2 linked regions of the Mus musculus genome follow. The main gene of each other region encodes a partner of the protein of the gene in region 2 in a complex. Links are inferred from orthologs where the notes say so. Each region holds a gene or a part of one and is shown on either strand. Other genes may lie near its edges. The genes, in order: Rab29 and Lrrk2.

Region 1 (4,356 bases), on a different chromosome or scaffold from region 2:
CAGCTTTGCCATTCCATATTCATTCCCCCCTCCCCCCGCCCCCCAAACAGCTTGCTGGGTAAATAATTTCTCCCCTTGTTACTGCCTGGTTTTCCCATTTTACCTGCAATATCCCAGAGCTGCAGCCGCACCATCTCTGAGTCAGACCACTGGAGAACCTTGAGAGCAAAATCCACTGAAAATATATGAATATTGTACTTTAACAAAAACATGTCTTTACGATGGTTCTGAGAGTGAGATGAAGGCATTTGTGGCTAACCCTGACAACCCAAGTTAAATCCCTATAGCCCAAGCCTATAAACTGGCTTCTGACTTCCACAAGTATGTCACAGAATACATGTCCACACACACACACACACACACACACACACACAGTAAATGGTTTTTTTTTTTTTTTTTTTTTTTTTTTTTTTTTTTTTTTAGTCCTAGCACAAGCTCAGATCAAATAAATATACAGTGACAACCCCAGGATCACAACACTCCAATTAGGTTTAAACCTTCTGGCGATGGAGAGGAGCCCCCATGGTACATTTGTGTTGGGACACATAATCCGTACTCTCCAAACGGTCTTCAGTGTTTTCTCCTCTCTCAGATCAAATTATTTCACACTGATTATCTCCTTGGCTAGGATCAAGAAAGTTATGGGCATGGTTATGACCATTATTCCTGTTCTCAGGTTAAATGGTTTCTGGGATGTTTTTTAAGTGGGGGGTTCTCAAGGAAAGAATGGTGGGGGAGATGGAGGAAAGGAAGGTAAGGTGGTTAGCTTTGTATCTTCCATCTTAACTTCACTGTTAGTATCTAATCAAACAGTATTATGAGAAAATACAGTGAAAACCTCTGTATCCTCCTTAAGGCTATGGTATATGTCCAGCAGGTACTGGTTAAATGAACAAGATGGCAGAGGTTGAGACATGGATGCTGCTTAAGAGCTGTGCTGAATCCCCCACGGGTCTGCAGATGCTGAAACTCCATGAGGTTGGACTGAACAGCTATTCCAGGGGAACCTCCCAAAGTCGGATAGTAGAGCCTAGCTCCAACTTGAGATCCTCCTGCCTCAACCTCTTGAATGCTAGAATTAAAGGTAGAGACAACCACACTATGCTGGAAAAGCTACTTGTTAAGGAGAAACACAGAATAATTTCAGTTCAGAAACATATTCTTTCTTCTACATCTGTGACAGAAGTGAAAACGAGGGAGAATTTATAATAAACATTGGGAAAAACAAACAAAACTTGCCAGAATCAGTATGTTCATACTGTCGGAAAACAGTCCACTGGTAAAAATTAATTCACAGGACATTTTTAACCCAAAATCCATGAAATAAGGACTTGTATTTAGGAGTGGTGGGCAAAGTAGTCAGGAAACAGTTTTTGAAATATTCTATAAAGTTTTCATTTCAAAGAAAAGAGTTAATAAAAAAACTTTCACATGTAAATCTGTGTTGGTACAAATGTAATTTTATGTGCTGGGCGTGGTGGCGCATGCCTTTAATCCCAGCACTTGGGAGGCAGAGGCAGGCAGATTTCTGAGTTCAAGGCCAGCCTGGTCTACAGAGTGAGTTCCAGGACAGCCAGGGCTATACAGAGAAACCCTGTCTCAAACAAAACAAAATAAAAAAAACAAATGTAATTTTATTCTTTCACATTACTGTAACCTTGTTAACTACCTTCTCCTTGTGGTGGTGGTGGAGGTGTGTGTGTGTCTGTGTGTATCTGTGTCTGTGTCTGTGTGTTTGGGGTAGACAGACCGACAGGTGGACAGTTCAGCAGAGTCCAAAGGCCACACTGGGAAAGAAATGAATTTACTTTTAGTGCTTCTTTCTCTCTTCCTCCCTGCCTTCCCCAGTGCAAGAGAAGACGACAGGCCACTCGAGGGTATTTCACATTCTTTCGTGAATTCCTCACATTTCCCACTCAGTTCACTAATGACACCATAGGGCTCATCAGACCTGACCGGAATCTGTCCTCCAGTCTTCCCCACACCTCTGACTGCTTAGCTCCTGGGCTTTCCTCCTAAGGTAACGGGGTTCTTTCCTCAACACCCGTCGGATGCTGGTAGGAAGCAGGGTAACTGCCCCAGCCTGCACTTGAACCGGGACTCAGCTGACTTTGCTGACTGGAGAAGTTGCTCTGGGCAGCGCATGGCTGCGGGAGGGCTCTGCTCTCTGCGGTGAATAGTCCCCGGCTCAGACCCCTTCACCATCTCTCACCTGTATACTTTGGCCCTATCTTTGTAGGTAGGCTGGGGACCCCTTAGAGGCAACCTCGGTACCCAGAGGCTACCGGCTGCGAGCCTCGACCCCTGCTCCTAGTCACCCGTGACCGCTCACCTCCCACGGTGGACTTGTAGTGCTTGCTGAAGCTGTCCTGGGAGTAGCGCTGGACCAGAGACGTCTTGCCAACGGCGGCGTCCCCCACCACCAGCACTTTAAACAGGTGATCTCGGCTGCCCATGGCTAGTGGTGGGGAGAGGTTTTTTGATAGTTTGTTTTTCCGGGAAGTCGCTTATTTCAACCCCTTTGGCTCCCGGGTTCTCTTCCAATTGAAGTCAGGCATCTCCACCCTCGGTTGGTTGAAGCTTCTCTGACTGGAAAGCAGAAAAGGAAACTTTTGCACTCGGCCTGTGCGCGCTTCCTCCCCGCGCGGCCGCAGCCTGGGTGGGGCGGGTACCAGCTCGACCCTCCGCGATTGGCACCTTCCTTTCAGGGACCTCCGAGTCGCTCGCCAGCATTGAACCGTGGCCAGCACCTTGCTTAGAGAAGTACAGATGACTTAGACCCTTTCTCGGACCGCACACACAAAATTGAGGTTGTGCAGAGTCCTTGTCCGGTCCCCGTCCTGCCACTGGCGGCGCACTTCCCAGTCTTCCGTCAAAAACGTTGTGAGCCCCACTGCTCGGAGAACTACATTTCCCAGTGTGCCTCTTGGTAAAGCGACCAGACCAGTGTGGCGACTTGCCACGTACACTCTTGGGAAATGTAGTTTCCTAGCTATCTTGAGCAAATTTACATAAAAGTTTTAAGGTTTTCAAACTTTAAAGAATTTAGAAATCTATTTAAAAACAATTCTAAAGTTTGGCGTCGAAGCACAGGTTTGCAATCCAGGCCTTGGGGAGATGGAAATAGGAGGATCATAAAACCCTAGTTCATCCATCGTCTTCTGCAACAAGTGTGTTCAAGGACCCCTAACCCCACCACTTCCTCTCCCCAGAGCAAGACAAGAGATTGGAAGCAACTTTGGGTCACCCTGAACTACGTAGACCATGATCTCTCCTGTCTAAATCTTTCCCCCAGATGTTTTCTTAAAATCACATTTTAAAGATTTCTAGACGGCCTTTCTTATTAGCCATATTTTAAAGGTTTTATAACACAAAGATAAATGTCCAAGTTCCAAGTGAAGTCCATTTCCTGTTGTCTTAACTACAGAGTCAAATCTCGAGCCTTGTAAAGACAAGGTCAAATTTTCCATATGACCAATAACAGGCACATTTGGGGACATTTGACCCAAAAGATCAACCTTTTAAAAAAAATCTATGTCAAAAGTTACAACACTTAATAACTAGCTATAGCAATAACAATGCAGAATAAACAAGAGATAGTTCCTCATTGACACTTCCACATTTCTTACACCAGCCACGCATAGCGTTTGAGCACCAGGACATTTCCTTTTGTTGCTGCTATTAATTCTGAATACTCATAAAATGATTGGCAAATATTTTTACTTTTCCTACCTGTAATTTTTCTGTCCTGCCTGTCCTTTAGCTAGAAATTGTGGCTAGTAGAATAAGCTTCACTTTTTTCCCCTTTTGGCTGTTTTGTTGTTGTTTGTTTGTTTGTTTGTTTGTTTTTTGTTTGAGAGAGGATTTTCTGTAGCCTAAGTTGGTGTCAACTTCTGACAGTAGACCATAGAACTTGTGGTTCAATTGTAACAACATCCAGTTTTGTAGTTTTGGAGAGTAAATCCAGGCATGCTAGGCAAGTCCTCTACCATCGGAGCTACATCTCCAGCCCTCCTCCTCCTCCTCTCCCTCCTCCTTCTCCTTCTCTTCTTTCTTTTTTCCTTTCGACAGAGTCTATGTAGCCCAGGCTGGCTTTGAGCTCCAGATCCATTTGCTTCTGTTTCTGCTTCTACTCCCTCCACTGGAATGCATGCACACAGTATGCAGCTTTGTGTGTGTGCTCATGTGCGCAAGCTCGTACACATTTGGGGCTGGTTTCTTCCACTACTCTCTCCCTTCCTCTCTCTTAAAAACTGGAAATTTAAAGTTAGTAAACAAAGTAATACCTTCCATTACAACATTTCCATATAACTCCCCCCCCTCGATGTTCTTTGTTCTAATCACCACGTTTGCCAG
Region 2 (3,813 bases):
ATGAAATAAGGCAAAACTTATTCCTGTAGTAGACATAAAAGATAAAATGAAATTATTGCCACAGATGCAAGGCTAGCATAAATCTAATAATCTTGCAGCTGCCAGTCAATGGCTTGAAGAGACCTCATCACCCTTTGAAGTGGACATTTCTGGTTTCCTTAACAACTCAGTGGTGTGATGTGATGTTTTTCTGGAAGCTGTCGTGAGAGGGCATTTGATGGTTTGCTGAAAACAGACCCTTGAGAGGGTGTGTGATGTTTAGAATGAATATAATCAGAACTTCACAAACAGTGAGAGGATGCTCTTGCATTGCTACCCCCTGCAACGTTTTGCTGGTCTTCAGTGGTCTTCACTTCATAGAGAGAATCGCTCCAAAGAACTTCTCCTAGTATTCAGGCCACTCCCACTGACGCGTGCCAATTGTTTCTGCACAGCCTTGTTTTTTCTGCAAGATCGCGCCACCGCTAATAATTCGTGTTTGGTGTTTGCTGATGAACTGGACTTCTGGTATCCTGACAATGAAGAATGGAATCACCCCCAAGGAACTCTTTCTAAACAGGTCCACAAAACTCCTTTCTTATTAACCTAGGCTACTGCGCTTTTGTGGACATCTACTACACTCATACTTGTTACGTAGATGCCCTGTTAAAACATACCCTCCTCAAAGAAGAGAGGAGGCTCATGGGACTCAAGAAGCTGCCCAGCCTTGGGAGACCTAGGGATCTCAGAAACTCAGAAAGCTACACGTTGTAAAAGCCCCCTTCCCAAGGTTGTCCCCAACAGTGGACAATATCTAGGATGGGGAGACTCTAATGGACCTTCCTTTGTGTTGGGCTGGGAGCTCCAGGGATACAAACTTCATGGGTCATTACACCTGCTGGGGTGGGCTTTCCCATAATGCAGCTGTCTTTGAGTAACTCATGCTCCTATAAATAACTCCAGTAAGCTCACTGGTTCACAGGCTAGACTTAGAGGGAAATGTCCCTTGGTCAGCTATTGGTGCCCTATCAACAAATGCTTGTTTAAGACTCTGAAGTAAGAGTCACAAAACAATTCCATGAATTCAACATTCTGGACAATTCAAAGGTGAATACCGTACACTTCTATTATAGTGTACAACGTAAAATATTTTGGAATTTAAATTTAAACCCTAAAATATAATGGAAGCTTACATTAAACTCTCATGGACCTGCAGAAGTAAATCTCGATTTTTGTCTCAGGTCTGGCTGTAGAGGGAAGAATTTAAGAAATAGTTTTATTGGAGTCTGGAGGAAGAGGATGATTAGCTACCTGCTTTCATTGTTTGAGGAGAAAGGCTGAGAGGAAAAGGAAAAGCAGTATGCTTCACAGTGGAGGTGGCCAAGAACAAGCGATGCCTATTTCAACCCAGACCTTCAAGCTGCTGTGAAGAGGGACAGGTCATGTCCAGCCCCTGTGGTCTTCCCCCCCCACCACACCTCTCACAGTCATGCTTCCAGTACCCGTACTACCCACAACCAGGCACCAGATCACAGCCATGTAGCACAGGTCACATCCAAAACCAACTCCTCATGGTGCAGGACCTCCCTTCCCTCAGATACCCCACTTGGTCTCAAACTACTGATTTTTTGCTGTCAGAGCAAAAAATCACCTGTCACCTGGAAGACAATTTTCCCCATATTTAATCATTCATTGTGACTAACCTTAACTGAAATATTGAAAAACATTTACAATCCCATGTTCAGCAATATTCACTTTAATAAAGATATGTAATCCATCCAGGGGCCCACTATGACATGAGTGGAGGAAGATAATGTATTTACAAAATGGAAGGCTACTCAGTCTCATTTATCATAACCTCATCGCGGAATCACAACATGGATAAAACTCCAGACCAACAAATGAGGAGAATAAGGTAAGCAAAACCAAAAAATGACACGCCATGTCACGTATCCTAGAATACAAAGTTGATAGAGTAGATCTGAGAATAGAACGGTGCTGCTGGAGGCTGGCATCACACGGAAAGCGGTAGGAAATTGCCAGTCACAGATACATAGCCATGAGATCATGATTTTAAACTTTTCAAATAGATGAATACATAAAGACAAAATAAGCAAGTGGTTACCCGGAGCCAAAGACAGAAGTACACAGATGTCCGGGGGAACGAAATAGGAACTGGGCCACTGCTTATGAGATTTAACTGTGCAGTGATGAACACGTTCTAGCATTGACTCTGGCAATACCAGTTCAACTCTACACAAACACAAGCACATAGCCTTGTACATCCAATCAGAGATGGGCTCTCCCTATGTCAGTGTATTGCTCTAGCTGACTTCAAACTCACTGGTGATCCTCCTGTTGCAGAATTATATATTCCTGAATTATATACTTTAAACAGGCAAATTGTGTGACCTATTATGTTTCAATAAACCATTTAATGAGGGAACAATGTCCAAGAGGAGGGAGGAGACTAATAATGAAGACAAACAAAAGTAAGGACTGGAATATTTACCTGATAGATTAAAGAAGTTGCCCCCTTCACTTGGTTGGCATCAGCTCCCAAGAGGAGCAAACATTCAACCATGATGCTGTTATTCTGATCGCAGGCTCTCTCTAGCATGGTGTTTTTCAGCTCATCATCCACGGCCACTTTTGCAAAGCATTTGCAACATAGATTGAGGAACTAGAAAGAACAGGAATGAAGATGAGAGGCAGCCCCTGAAGGATAGGGTTTAGCCCACAGGCAGCAAACCCATACCTGCTCATCCTTTTGTTCTACAACACTGGAAGACATCTGATGAAATATCACCACATCAAAGGAATAGTGCACTAGCAGCTTGGAGAAAGATACTGACAGCTCAAGTATTGACAGGGTTGTCTGTAATCCCTGAAAGTGCAAGCAAAAATAATAGTAAATGATGTAATAGTCATGGGCAAAAAAAAGTTCAATGTTATACAGCACTTCATATATGATATTTAAGACCCTGCTTGCTCTTTTAACTAAAGAGAAAGACTTAAACTTGAGCTTGACAGCAGTAAACCTTGAAATAACTACAAATGTCTCCCTTTCCTGGAACTAAGAAATATATTAAGGACAAGGAGAACAAGTGCTAGCTGGCAAGCCATCCTCAAATACTTAATCCTCTCAAATTTGGCCATTAAAGGTTCCTTTGGGAAACCAGACATGCCAGAGGAAAGCTACGTGTTGCCCGGGATTAGAACAGCTGGTGGCATCTGGATGCAAAGCGGACATCTTGACATCAGGAGGGCACAGTAGTAATGGAGTCCAGCACTTCTTCCGCCTTTTCATGCTAGCTCCTGCATACACTTCTTCTACCTCAGAGGCAAACAACTCCTCCTGATCTCACTGTTGTTTAGCACAATTGTCTGAAGCTCCAAAGGCAAAATAAAGGGTGTGTCCTTGTGGTAGGTTTCATACAAACAGCAACATTGCTTCTTAGAAGGGACTCAAGCTTGCTAAGGCCACCAGGCCTCTCTGCCTATGCAGTGCTTCAAGGAAGTGTCCTTTCCACAAAGGGCTTCAGCACTGAAGACAGTGAGTAAATTCTCAAAAGGTCGGCCTACCCTCTACAGCAACATCAGAACAATCTGTCTAGGCATAGACACAGAGATGATTTTGTTCTCTTAAGATGCTGAATTCGGCAAATACAGATACTTGAGAAAAAGTATATTTAGATTGTAAGGTTCTCAGAAGTCTGTCGCCGAAAGCCTCACAAGAAGTTCTAGACATGAAAGTGTGGCAGCCGAGGTGGGACCGGACCTTTGAAGGAACCATTTTTCAGCTCTGCACTGATTCGATAAAATAGGCTGGGA

The links.
Region 1: the proteins of Lrrk2 (region 2) and Rab29 are in contact, whole or in part, in a cryo-EM structure (PDB 8FO2), measured with the Homo sapiens proteins. The link is inferred for Mus musculus from reciprocal best matches to the Homo sapiens genes LRRK2 and RAB29. Residues at the interface, in NP_940980.4 of Homo sapiens: Arg361, Lys362, Arg399, Met402, Leu403, Leu406, Met407, His408, Leu437, Ser438, Lys439, Gly440, His442, Leu443, Asn444, Glu447; in NP_001129134.1 of Homo sapiens: Leu7, Val42, Asp43, Phe44, Ala45, Leu46, Arg58, Gln60, Trp62, Leu76, Tyr77.

The regions. Positions count from the first base shown.
Region 1 is NC_000067.6:131,865,752-131,870,107, reverse strand, and holds the start of Rab29 (ras-related protein Rab-7L1), read right to left. Parts: upstream 2,832-4,356; 5' UTR 2,698-2,831; exon of another isoform or gene 2,590-2,697; 5' UTR 2,457-2,589; coding exon 2,333-2,456; intron 176-2,332; coding exon 104-175; intron 1-103. UniProt on the Homo sapiens protein: The small GTPases Rab are key regulators in vesicle trafficking. Essential for maintaining the integrity of the endosome-trans-Golgi network structure.
Region 2 is NC_000081.6:91,724,986-91,728,798, reverse strand, and holds part of Lrrk2 (leucine-rich repeat serine/threonine-protein kinase 2), read right to left. Parts: intron 2,867-3,813; coding exon 2,738-2,866; intron 2,663-2,737; coding exon 2,492-2,662; intron 1-2,491. UniProt on the Homo sapiens protein: Serine/threonine-protein kinase which phosphorylates a broad range of proteins involved in multiple processes such as neuronal plasticity, innate immunity, autophagy, and vesicle trafficking.